2 linked regions of the Oryzias latipes genome follow. Each later gene encodes a partner of the first gene's protein in a complex. Links are inferred from orthologs where the notes say so. Each region holds a gene or a part of one and is shown in the gene's direction. Other genes may lie near its edges.

The links. Proteins that work in one complex are often made in the same cells at the same time.
Region 2: the proteins of smc2 (region 1) and ncapd3 are in contact, whole or in part, in a cryo-EM structure (PDB 9F5W), measured with the Homo sapiens proteins. The link is inferred for Oryzias latipes from reciprocal best matches to the Homo sapiens genes SMC2 and NCAPD3. Residues at the interface, in NP_001036015.1 of Homo sapiens: Arg112, Ala122, Asn123, Asn124, Thr125, Arg126, Leu218, Lys222, Arg225, His229, Trp940, Asn942, Ala943, Glu944, Phe948, Arg981, Met985, Arg986; in NP_056076.1 of Homo sapiens: Asp31, Met72, Ile80, Pro127, Gly128, Ala131, Phe135, Pro137, Asp141, Lys235, Gln237, Gln240, Leu1121, Asn1196, Asn1200, Pro1203.

What each region holds. Positions count from the first base shown.
Region 1 is NC_019859.2:11,204,016-11,210,885, forward strand, and holds the start of smc2 (structural maintenance of chromosomes protein 2), read left to right. Parts: upstream 1-2,202; 5' UTR 2,203-2,361; coding exon 2,362-2,529; intron 2,530-2,636; coding exon 2,637-2,786; intron 2,787-2,868; coding exon 2,869-2,991; intron 2,992-3,089; coding exon 3,090-3,128; intron 3,129-3,204; coding exon 3,205-3,315; intron 3,316-3,403; coding exon 3,404-3,448; intron 3,449-3,534; coding exon 3,535-3,768; intron 3,769-3,847; coding exon 3,848-3,997; intron 3,998-4,080; coding exon 4,081-4,314; intron 4,315-4,423; coding exon 4,424-4,583; intron 4,584-4,669; coding exon 4,670-4,787; intron 4,788-5,364; coding exon 5,365-5,503; intron 5,504-5,594; coding exon 5,595-5,714; intron 5,715-5,833; coding exon 5,834-6,038; intron 6,039-6,117; coding exon 6,118-6,253; intron 6,254-6,870. UniProt on the Homo sapiens protein: Central component of the condensin complex, a complex required for conversion of interphase chromatin into mitotic-like condense chromosomes.
Region 2 is NC_019873.2:3,916,877-3,923,079, forward strand, and holds part of ncapd3 (condensin-2 complex subunit D3), read left to right. Parts: intron 1-508; coding exon 509-671; intron 672-780; coding exon 781-947; intron 948-3,046; coding exon 3,047-3,220; intron 3,221-3,297; coding exon 3,298-3,359; intron 3,360-3,436; coding exon 3,437-3,524; intron 3,525-4,903; coding exon 4,904-5,037; intron 5,038-6,203.

The sequences.
Region 1 (6,870 bases):
TTTTGAAAGTACACATTTCCAAAACAAATTTGTGACCTAAAAAAAAGGATGTTTACTTGTAATACTTTTGTCTGAAAAATATGATTTATATATAAAATGCAGGTTAGGAATTTGTGTGAAAGTTTGCAATGAATTAAAAAATGTAAGCTTTGTCTTAGACAAAAATAGCCATTTACAAAGCTACAAAAAAGGAAACATCTACTTGAAGGGCTCACTTTATTACTGTATATTAATAATTTTATTACAATAACAAGAATCATAATAATAGACAGCTGAACACACACAAAAACAAACAAACAAACAAAAATACAACACATTTCTACAGTCAAGAATAAGTAATTCATTTTTTTTTTCTGCTGTCAAGAAAAATGTGGTAATTCTGTTTTGTTCAGATCAGTTTTGTTACCACAGGGGGCGCCATTATCTAAAAAAAATAGTTTAGAAAGATGCTCAGTAACTTCGTTCTTTTATTGGGCTAATTTCACTTCTAACATTGATTGGAAAAAAGTCTGGTCTTTACCACAAAAATACTTCTTAACAAATAAAGTCAAAGAAATCTCTTTTAAACTCCTACACAGATTTTATCCAGCAAAGCATTATTTAACTAAATTTAAGGCTGACATAAACACCAGTTGTACTTTCTGCCAGAAACAACCTGAAACCTGCTCTCATTTATTCTGGTCTTGTGAATTTACATACAGATTTTGGAAAAACATTCACAAATTTATCACCGATTCTATTTTTGCTGACATACAACTTTATTATAAAAACATACTTTTTGGTTTTCATAGCTTTGATGTCAAAGACCGTGATGCTTTCTTTTGTGTAAACATGGTATTATTTATCGCTAAATTTCATATACACAAAAGAAAATTTTCCAATAAAAAACCGGATTTCTTTGTGTTCAAACTGGAACTGCAGCGTTATTTAAACTTAATTTCTGCTTCAAAAAATACAAAAGCTCAAAAAACAATTAGCATCTGTAAATCTTTTGGACCGCTGACATAGATTTACTCTCGCATTTTCTCTTTTCTCTTTTTTTTTTTTTGTTTCTTTTTATTTCTTATTCCCTTTTGTGTTTATTATTAATAATTAGTATTTTTTAAAGAATGCAACATGTTTGTTCTGTATTTAGAATTTTATTGTACATTATATGTGCATAATTGTTGTATTTTCTTGTTTTGTATGTTGCAATTGTTCAATAAAAAAAAAAAAAAAAAAAAAAAAAAAAACTTCGTTCCCAAAACGTTTTAACCAACGGCTTCAAAGAGAGTTGAGTTTGAGAAAGAAGATTCTACTCTCAAAAGCAGAAGGGATTTCTCAACTTACTTATTTTGCTTTGTCTCTACACTTGGACAATCAGACTCTTAAATCTATTGCCCAAATGTTGTTAAATTTCATCTGGAAAAATCATATTTATTTAAAAAAAATCTGTATTAATGAACTATAAAAAAGGAGGCTTAAATTTTCTTAAATTTTACTTCTTTAAATAATACTTTAAAATAAACTTGATTAAATCATATTTAAAAATTCCACTTTCCATCTGGAATATTTTCCCTCATCACATTTTTGCTAACACATGGTCTCCATTTTTTTCTCCTTTGTCATTATAATATTGACAAAATCCCAGTTAAACTCTGCTTTTCACAGACAGATTCTTCTTTCATGGGCACTTACTCACAAATTTTCCCCTCATAACTCTTTTGTTTGGAATAGCGTATATACTTTACAAGAACAAATCATTATTTTACAATAATTGTTTTAATAAAGATATCCTACTGGTGGGTCAGCTTTTTAACCACAATGGACAATAAAACTCAGATATAAAGAATTTAACCTTAAGTATTATGGAGTCCTATACTGTTCATAATCCTGTGGCATTCTCACTGTTATGGCTAATGTTGTTGTCCTGCATACTTGTTCTACATGTGTTAAACAATAAAGTATTTTTAAAAAAGTACAGTGTGCGCCAATCACCCGATGGTTTAGGGATTTAGCTGCCCCGGTATATGCCTACAAAATGCATTGACAAAACGTTTAAATAAACATAATTGAACTGGTCTGAATAAATTATAGCAAATTACGGACCAAGTCTTTTATGTTTATTTTCTTTCAATTTTCTGTCAAATTATATTACATATGGATTTTTTTGTTTTGACTCCGGCATGATGAATGGCCTACTGTCGACCGAAAGTTTTCTTAGTGTGTGTTTACCGCCAAAATTCAAGTTAGACGACAGTCTTTTGGTTTGATATAAACATTGGGCTGTTGCTTTGCTCGCCGCATTTTTCTTTTAACTGACTTGTCGCTGAAACGGATATTTTCTGTGGCGTTTGTTTCGGCAAGACAAGATAAGTAACGATGTACATTAAATCAATAATTATCGAAGGATTTAAATCTTACGCACAGAGGACAGAAATTAACGGCTTCGACCCGCTATTCAATGCCATCACGGGACTGAACGGCAGTGGCAAGTCCAACATCTTGGACTCGATATGTTTCCTTTTGGGGATTTCCAACCTCTCACACGTAAGGACGTTTCCGCATGTTTCCATTGATTAAAGTAAAAAAAAAAGCAGCTTTGCCTTCTTTTAATAGCAAAAAAAACAGTAATTCTGTTCTATTTTATTTAAAAGGTTCGAGCTTCAAACCTTCAGGACTTGGTTTACAAGAACGGCCAGGGTGGCATCACCAAGGCCACTGTGTCTATTACTTTTGACAACTCCAATAAGAGCCAGAGCCCTCTGGGGTTTGAAACCCACGATGAGATCACTGTAACCAGACAGGTCAGGAAAGTACACAATTATTTAATATCCCAATTTATAAAGCATTTTTTAAAACTTGATCACAAACGTTTTCTTCATAAAGGTTGTCATAGGAGGCAGGAACAAATATCTGATCAATGGGGTCAATGCCAACAACACCAGGGTGCAGGACTTGTTCTGCTCTGTTGGCCTCAACGTTAACAACCCTCATTTCCTCATCATGCAGGTCAGCTTTGCATCTTAAACATTGAGAGTTTTCAGAAATTGCTAAACAAAATCATTCGTTTGACCTTTGGGGTCTTTTTTTTTTTTTTACTTATTTAGGGAAGAATAACCAAGGTTTTGAATATGAAACCACCAGAGGTATGTACTTTGTTTGATGAAAAAAAAAGTATAATAGAAACACTTTTGTTAGTACTAATATACTATTTGTCTCTAGATTCTTGCTATGATTGAGGAGGCAGCAGGCACCAGAATGTACGAATGTAAAAAGATCAGTGCACAGAGAACAATTGAGAAGAAAGAGGCCAAGCTGAGAGAGATTCAGACTGTATGTCTACCATCTGTTATTCAAGTTTCTTGTGGTTTTTGGGGAAACAAGCAGCTGCAAACTTTGTTCTATGTTTCCTGACGTTTAGATTTTGGATGAAGAGATTACTCCAACTATGCAAAAGCTGCAAGAGGTGAGCTAAATGTTTTTTATTTATTTTTTATTTCAACATTTGTGTAATGATTTAAGGATATGCTTTAAATGTTCTTTGATGCACAGGAAAGATCCTCCTATTTGGAGTACCAGAAGCTGATGCGTGAGATCCAGCACTTGTCACGACTTTATGTGGCCTGGCTGTTTGTGTGTGCCGAGGAGACTAAAGTCAAGTCGGCTGAAAATCTGAAGGTGATGCAAGGCAACATTGTCAAGATGCAGGCCAAAGTTTCAGAGAATGAGAGCAAAATCCAGGAGCTTTCTGCTCAGATTCAAGAGCTTCAGAAGAAAAATGACCAGGTACTGAAAGAGAAATAAAAGAAAAAAAATATTTGTATGTTTTGTGTGGCTCTGACACACTTTTGGTGTTTATTTTAAGGAGGTAAACGGAGAATTAAAAACCTTGGAGATGTCTCTTGCAAGTGTGCAGCGTGAGGATGCCAAAGCTCAGAGCAGTCTCGACTTAAAAAAGCAGAATCTGAAAGATGAAACCAAAAAGAGGAAAGAGCTCGTGAAGAGCATGGAGGAGGTAATGGATTCATTTGTGCTTCTCATTGGTGGCTGCAAGATTTTTACTTTATCAAGCTTATTGGTCTCGGTCATTCTTTTTAGGACAAGAAAGTGCTCGTGGTGAAGGAAAAAGAAGTGAGCAAGTTGTCCGAACAGCTTCAGGCACTGCAGGTGGAAGGACAGAAAAACACAGCTGAACTTGAGGCAGCTGAGCAGCATTTCAAAGCTGTGTCGGCGGGTCTTTCTACCAACGAGGACGGCGAGGAAGCCACTTTAGCTGGGCAGATGATGGCCTGCAAGAACGAGATGAGCAAAGCAGACACAGAGGCCAAGCAGGTGGAGAAAAGAGACACTTTTGATGTGCAGTGGCTTGACGTCCTGCACACCTGCTGCTTCTCCGTTGAATTATTTGATCCGAAACCCAACCATTTCCATCTTTGCACAGGCCCAAATGACCCTGAAGCATGCCCAGGCAGAGCTGAAGACCAAACAAGCGGAGATGAAGAAGATGGACAGCGGCTACAAGAAAGATCAGGACACCTTTAAGGCCGTCAAAAGCAGCCGAGAGAAACTGGAGGCGGAGCTGGCCAAACTCAACTATGAAGGTGCAGCATTCTCCTGAAAATAAAAGACGAATGTTGTAAAAGCTTTTGCCTGTTTAGTGACTCAACTTGTGTTTGTGCTGCTGCAGATGGAAAAGAAGAAAGCCTGATGGAAAAACGAAGACAGCTTTCCAGAGAAGTCGCTCAACTTAAGGAGACCTTTGACCGACTCATGTCTCGTTTTCCCAGCCTGCGCTTTGAATACAAGTAAACGCTTCTATCTGTTTGAGTATCATGCCTTTAAATGTACATTTTAATTTACATAACAGCGTATAAGCCCAGACACGTAAGATTTCGTTTAACATTCTTATTCAAAATCTATAAATAAACCAGGTGGCAGATGTGTTTAGTTTATTGACTGGAAAAGTAAAATGCCTGCAGTTAGTGAATTATTTCATATGTAGTGATTTTAATTTTGTTCATATTTTCATTTGCAGCAACATAATGGTTTTTGGAGTGGGGCAAAATTGATCCATAAATTCATTAACAGCTAATTCCAAATAGTTTAACAGTTTACAAGATTTTACAGCTTAAACATAAACAGGAACTATTTTGATTTGAAGTTTTAAGTGTGGACAAATGATTGATTCTGCTGTTTCTTTCATCTCTATGAACTATCTAATCTAAAGATTTGATTAAGAAATAGAACTTTAATTTCTTATCTTGTCCACCATGAATTGAGTTTTTTTTCTTCCTCTTGACGATGTTTTATTTGAGTCATTTTTCTTTTCTTCAGTTTGCATTTTTCTTCTTTTCTGTTGTAATAAATTCTGCTGTCTCCCAGAGATCCGGAGAGAGGCTGGGACCGAAGCAAAGTGAAGGGCCTTCTAGCTAATCTCATAAGTGTCAGTGATGTTTCCTATGCCACGGCACTGGAGGTAGTTGCAGGTGGACGGCTCTACAACATTGTTGTAGACACAGAGGTAGACCTTTTGAAAGTTTTTTTTTTAAATTTATTTCACAGGTGAATAAACAGAATCTTTGTGACTAAATGATTGAATCCTTCCTTCTTAGGTGACTGGTAAGAAGCTGCTGGAGAAAGGAGAGCTACAGCGCAGGTACACCATCATTCCTCTCAACAAGATATCTGCCAAAACTCTCAACGACAAAGTGATCCACACCGCGAAGCGCCTGGTGAGAAAACTCTGTGCTTTCATAGTCTCCGACTTTTTCTTGTGTATAAAAGGAATCACATCTCATTCATTAGGTTTTCTCGTAGGTAATTTTCCGTGATTTTGTCTTTGTTCTGTGAGGTCGGGGAGGACAACGTTCACACAGCTCTGTCCCTGGTGGGATACGAGTCTGACCTTCGTAAAGCCATGGAGTATGTGTTCGGCTCCACGCTGGTCTGTGACACTTTGGACAACGCAAAGAAAGTGGCGTTTGACAAACAGGTGATGACCAAGACTGTTACGCTTGGGGGAGACATCTTTGACCCGCAGGGAACTTTGAGTGGAGGTGAGATCAACGCTCGACTCCTGTTTCCTTGGAAAATCAAATCAGTTTCAATACTTGGCTCCTCTTTTTTTCTTTCCAGGCGCTCGCTCGCAGTCGGCATCGATTTTGTCGAGCCTGCAGGAAGTAAAAGATGTTCAGGACAGCCTGAGCGATAAGGAGGCCAAACTTCAGGATACTGAGCGACAGATGTCCAGTCTGAAGGGAACCGCTGAGAAGTATGCAAATGAAAAAGCAGAAAAGTTCCTCTACACATTAAAAAAACTCCTATATATTTACTAAAACTAGCGGTACTTTCTGTTGTGAAACCCCTTCTTTTAAGTGGGATGCAGTGATTCACTTTCCCCTCGATTCAGTTCAAACCTCAATTTTTGGGTCACGGTTCGAAATATGACTTTTGTACTACAAAGAGACAAACAACATTTTTGAAAAAATCATTTTAAATTTGCTAATAAGCAAAAAAAAAATATATATATATATATCAGTTGGCTAATACTAAGCCTGGAGTAATGTAATAAGACAATAAATAGTAAATCCTTCTTAAATTTAGCACAACTGTTTGACACTTTCAATGTAAACACGCAGTAGCGATGGAACAAATCCCCTTCCCCACAATGCGGTTTAAATGTGGAGCAAACAGTTTGGTTTGAAACCGAGAATGGTGGCATCCCTATTATGCACCATGGAAAATTAGATCCTCTTAATCAATAAAACATTCAATTCAGCTTGATTATATATTTTTTAATTCATTGTGTTTCTTTAAAACAAGCTACTGGTGACAAGTGTTAAAAAAAATCTATTAAGTCTATTTTACATTTCTTGTTTGGCCTGCAGT
Region 2 (6,203 bases), on another chromosome or scaffold:
TGTTCACGTTATTTAAGTCTTAAATTAAATTTGTCCTTCAATCCAGTCATTATTAAACCAGTTCTTATTTTATAAAGATGATTTGGAGCAAACACTGGAATCTCTGACTGTATTTCCTTTGTTCTCCAACACAAACCTTGAAAGCAGAAGGAAACTGAAATAGATGACTTTATTAATCCCACATTGGGGAAATCTCATTTATCTGTGGCAGCAAAAACGACATTCAGAATGAATCTATATAATATAACATCAAAAAAGGACATCAAAACTGACATTCATATTAAATTATTAAAAAAATATTTTTAAAATTATTAATACAATTATTATGAAAATTATCAAAAATAAGATTTGTATTAAATAAATATAAAATAAATAAATACAGCTGCAAAAGTTTAAAAAACATGTGGTCAACTGTAAAAAACATGTAAAAAAAAAAAAGTGGCACATTTGATTCTCCTGAAATTCTGATGGAAAATATTTAACCAAAAACTCCACTCTTCTTCTGCAGAACTTTTGGGGCATTTTTAGGGAGAATGGGGTATCAATCAAGGCCTTGGTGGCTGTGCTTTCTTTCTATGTGTTGGGGGCTAAAGCCAGAGCTGCCAACACACAGAACAGAGTGGGTGGACTGTATGCTGCCTCACTCTACCTGCTGCTATTGAAAATCCCAGGTAAGGGAACCTTAAGGTTTCTTCAAATGCAGCATAACTCTGTGGTTAAAAGCATATTTTAACTGAGACTTGGTCCTGTTGTTTATTTGTTATTATTTTTTGCTTAAAGGAAGCATTGCCAACCAAGTCTTTCATGAAGTTTTGTTGGACACCTGCTCTGACCTGACCTCACACTGCTGGCCTCAAGACTCTGGAAAAAAGCGCAAAAAGGATGGGATGAAAAATCCTCAAGGCGAGGGGAAACGAGCCAAAGCCCAGAAGAAAAAGCCTCCACAGGTACAGAGCCCCTTCAGGACAGTAGAGACAACGACATTAGTACTGAAGAAACCTTTTACTTTGGCCTGTTTGTGTATTGATGACAAAAATGCTGTGGATGTGAGATTCTGTATGCAACCTTTAACCTCTGAAGACCTGGCGTTCACATGTGTGGACATCACATTTTGGGTTATATTACTACAGTCATCTATTGACAGTAGGTTATTTATTATTTAATGAAGGCCCTGTTACCGCATGTGTAGAGAGTTAACTCAAACATTATCTCTAATCTTCAGAAGTTATTACAAAAGTTTAGGTTTAGAAACAAAAGACACCTCCAGTGTTTAATGCAAACTAATACAATATAAATGAGGTTGGATCAAAAAGGTAAATCAAGAAAACAGCGTTAAAAGACAGCTCCGCCTCAGTGACAAAAGGCTGGTTCCGCTTCAATGAGAAGACATAAAAAGGATGGCTCCGCCCCATCACAAATGTCTAGACTCGTATTACAGGGGGGTCAAACTCAGTCGCACAGGGGCCTAAATTAAAAACATGCTTTAGGTTTTGGGCTGAACAAGATAAACATTTACTGATCACAAAAAGCTAAACTTTTAAACCTTTAAAACATTTAATACTGAAAAATGAACTTTTTGAACATAAATATGAATAAAAACATGAACTCTAATCCAGAATAACTCAAGTTAAAGCTTAAATAACGTATAATATTTTGCTCTCCATCAAAATGTATTCTGTACAAATTATACAAATATGGAGATGCCGCAGAAACAAAACAAACAAAGCCTGAAAATATTAATAATAAGAAATAAAAAATCATGTCTTTCCATTTTCTTTGCTCTTTTATCATTTGTTAGAGTTGGACTTCTGCATCATTTTTAGCAATACTTTCTTGGTGTGCGACGTCCTGTGTGTCTTTGTAAAACAATTCGAAGCGATTGGATCTAAAAAAACAAACAAACGTATTGTGAATATCATTTTTGGGTTTTATAAAACATTACAAACTAAATCATAGAACTCATCAGTGGGATTACTCCAAAAATATTTGGCATTTCCCTAATTTTGTCCAACACTAACAATAGAAATCCTCCAAAAAACCTCCATCCATTCATAAAAAAATGATCTATAGTTTATTTATGATCTCATAAAGTGCAGCTGTTTTTCTGCATTACCTGCTGTCTTTGTCAAATACTGACACCAACTAAACAACAGAAAAGACGCGTAATAACAATATCTACAATAGTTGGTAAATAATGACATTATCAAAATGTAGGCTGCGCTCCTCACAGATGCGCCCACCACCCTTCCCCTCCCCTCCCGTTCTTTCTGACGTACGCGGCTCCGTCTCTATGGCGGGAGCGCGCAGCTGTGGCCTAGAGTTGATTTTTAGACTGAAAGACTCCCAGTTACCTGATAGCGTGATTCATCCAGCCACCGGTGAATTGCTCCCCCCTCTCGAATTTTTTGACTTGGTATGTTCCATAGTCTATCTCAAAGAGGCGTGGGCCGCAAGTGTCTTGCAGCAGAGGGCGGTGGTCACGTGCACGTTAGGTCCGCTGTGTCGGAGCGGGGAATTGTGGGAAATAATCCCCATTGCCTGCTTTGGTCGAAATTGGGTTGAGCACGGGTTTTTCTTCTGCCTGAGTGCCTTTTCATGTGGCTGTTTTACGTTGTTTCACTCTTAGTTATTTCATCTTTTTATTTATTTTATTTTATTTTTTGCACCATAAGTGTGGAGATGGGAGTGGATGAAGATATGGGTGTGATGTTAAGTGTCTGATGTGTCAAAATAAAAGCGCTAAGTGCCGACTGTAGCAGGCATGTAAAAATAAAAGCCAGAGTCTCCTCTTTGACGTAGCTATTTCCCTATGTGTTACACTGTCGGCACAGAAAATGCTGCCCCATATGATGTGCCGCCCTGGGCCACCGCCCACCTCGCCCATATCAAAAACCGCCACTGGTCAGTGGTGGGACTTCTCACATTTTACGCAATATGTTGTGATGTTTAGAAAGAAAAATGACCTAAATGATTATATAGCTGATGTATTGCATTTTGGACAGGTCTTTGTAATGTTTCATTTATCGAAAAGATTTTTTGTTGTTAGATGGAAATGGATGAAGCTGAGGAACAGGACGAGGAGGAGGAGGATATTTATTTCTCAAACGAAGATCTGATGAAGATCAGAGAAGCAGCCGTTTTTCTGGTCCACAGCCTTCTGAGGCTCCTCCAAACATTTCCACTCAAAGACCGGCCAGAAACCGCCAGCAGCTTCACGCAGGTAATTCTGGTCCCCACCCCCCCGGTTCTTCAGACCACACAGCAGCGTGAGTAGATCAAATCCTCTGGTCTTTGCAGATCTTCTGTAAGCTGCTTCACATTGAACCTGTCCTTGGTGAGATTACCTTTGCTGCTCCACGGTGAGTTTTCTTACGCCACTCTCTGATATGTGGAAGAAATGATCCATGAAAGCAGCCTGATCTTCTTGCCTGTGCAGAGACATGACTGAAATGAGGAGCATTCCAGAGATGGCTTTCTATGGGCTTGAGCTGCTCTGCTTAGCAAAACATGGAGACCAGAAAGAAGTAAGGTCCAGTTACCTCTGTTTCTGGTCAGTTTGTAAACGCTCTGTCTGTTTAATATCTGTATTCTTTAGATAAGTTTACAGGCTTACAGGTGATCTGATTCGATTACTAAAGAAAGACCATCAATTCACAAATCAAACCACAATTATTACTATTTAATATATTGTTTGGTCACAGTCTTGTCTTGTAATTGGATATAATAAAATAAAAATCGTCATGCTTTATACCTTTTTGTTTAGGAGAGATCAGAATTAAAAAATAACTGATGAAAAGGCAAAGATTTTAAAAAGAAATATTTGCCACTTTAAACAATGTTGCACTCAAAAGGTTTTCTGTTAACTTCAGCAGCAAACGAATAAGAAACGTCACTGCTGAAAACAAAAAAAATCTTCTTCACAGTGTTTCCAACAACAGTTCAATCAAATTGGAACAATAGAAAACGCTGTCCTTAAACTGACAACAGTTTTTCCAACAGACAGATTCTATAAACTCACTGGGGGGGCTGGCATTGACATTGTGTGGGTTTTTAAATAAAATATTAGTAATTTCCCACAGTACACCTGACCATCCCCCGCAGCACACTGGTTACAAAACACTGGTCTACTTAACCCTTGTGCTATCCTAGGCACTTTAACATTGGGAGTTGGGTCATCTAGACCCACTAGACAGTGCTCTGAACCTTTTTTCTTCAATGATTTGTGATCTTCACTGGTGTCCATGGATTACATGAAATCTTTCCACCTTTATCCACCTTTGTCATGGTAGGGAGAACACGTCAATGGAAGGGGGGGGTCATCTAAGATAGCACAAGGGTTAAGTGGGATTTAGCATGTTTTGTGTTTCTACGATAAAACTGTGAGGCCAAGTTTTCAGAAGCAGATGTTTTCCAGAAACTCTCCTTCCTAACTTAACACAGACAGGCATTCAGCCTCGCATAGAAAACGGTCTTAAATGAATCAATCAAATCAAAAAACCTTTTTGGGAAAGAGGGGTGATTAACCACGTCACTAGTGAGGACACGTCATTGCAAAAAAGATTTGTTAATCATAAATGGCGTAATGTCTGATGTTGATGAGAATGAATGAAAAAACGAGGTTTTGTGTTGCAAAATTGTACATCATAAATGATACATAACAGAAAGAAAGGTTTCAGTTTAATGCAGTAAACATCAGAGGAGCTGCAGATGTGTAATCTTATGTTTGCAATGAGGGTTTTTGTGTTTCCTACCAAAAATGCTAACCTTTGTTCTCCTTTTATTCTTACAAAATTTGGTGAATGCAATTTAAATAATTTGTGGTATCCTGACTTCATGTTAAAATGGAAGTTGTGGCATATTTAGGGCATGGATTGATCATGATAACACAATGTTCTTTGTGTAGTCTTTGCGCAGCGTCTTCCATCAGCTGCTCTATGCCATACTGATGATGAATAAAGAGAGTCGAGGGAAACCGGTCCTCCGTGTTCTCAGTCGGAGTGTTTTGGCAATCAGGGATTATGCCATTCAGTTTGTAAGGTGAGAGGTTTGAATTTTTGCTTTGTCTTTGCTTTTAGTATGGTTGGTGTGTGCGCGTGTGACTGGTGGGTAGGACATGGGGTTCCTGGAATAGTTGCAGTAGTATTGGAATTGTTTTATTTACCAAGTGTTTCTTAAATGTTAGAGTAAAATAAATCTATTTAAAGTGATGTCATCTGATGTCCATTAGTTATACTCTTGTTTTTTTACATTCAAGCAACAGTCCTGTAAATCTGAACCTTCATTCTGAAATATATTCCTATGACCACTAGAGGGCAGCGTCTCAATGAAAAAACGTCAGTTTTCTTAAGGAAATTCTTTCAGATGTGAAACATTTTTTACACCAGATCTTTACCACAATCAACTCAACAGCTCAATTGAAACCCTAAACTATTAGACACAGTTTGACTTCATTATTTTTATCTCCTAGAATGCATTTTTCCCTTCCTCCTTGGCAATGTTTTATTTTCCTTCTCTCACGCTTTCTTTCTAGGCCATTGACTGTATAAGAGAACTGGACTGAGTGACCCCCCCCCCCCTCCCCCTAGCATTCCAAACAGGAAGTACCTGCTGGCTTCAAGAAACCAAAATCCCATAGACTTCTATAGAGAAATAAACTGCTTTTACTCCGGTTATTCTAACTTTCTTGGTCTGATACTTTTTTTAAGCATATTTTTGGATTTTTTGTTTTCTGTTTTGCAAGTCTGAATGAGTATAAACTGACCAGTCAGATACTTCAATAAAAGTAAGTTGACAGATTCTCCCGCTTTCACGTGGTAGGGGTGTGGCCCTCCAACAAGTTCACTCCTGATTGGAGAGGGTGGTCACCATAGAACACGGACTCAGTCCGACTTGGATGTTGTCTGGTTCCAATGAGGTGGCATCCAAGAAATGGCAAATGAATTGACTTGGTTTGGTTGGAGCCAGAAGTAAACCATTTTCAATGAGTGACGTCACACTAGTTTCAGTCCAGTTCTCACATATAGTCAGTGTGCTAGCCTAATGCTCATCTGTTTATTTATACCCGTATCTATGCATCCATTCCCTCTATCTGTTTCTCCTGTTTTCATAGCTCTTTTGTATTTTCCATCCATCTTCTATATGCACCGTTCAGGGTCACAGGGATGCTGGAGCCTTTCCACATCTCCTGAAAGGTGCAGCTGGAC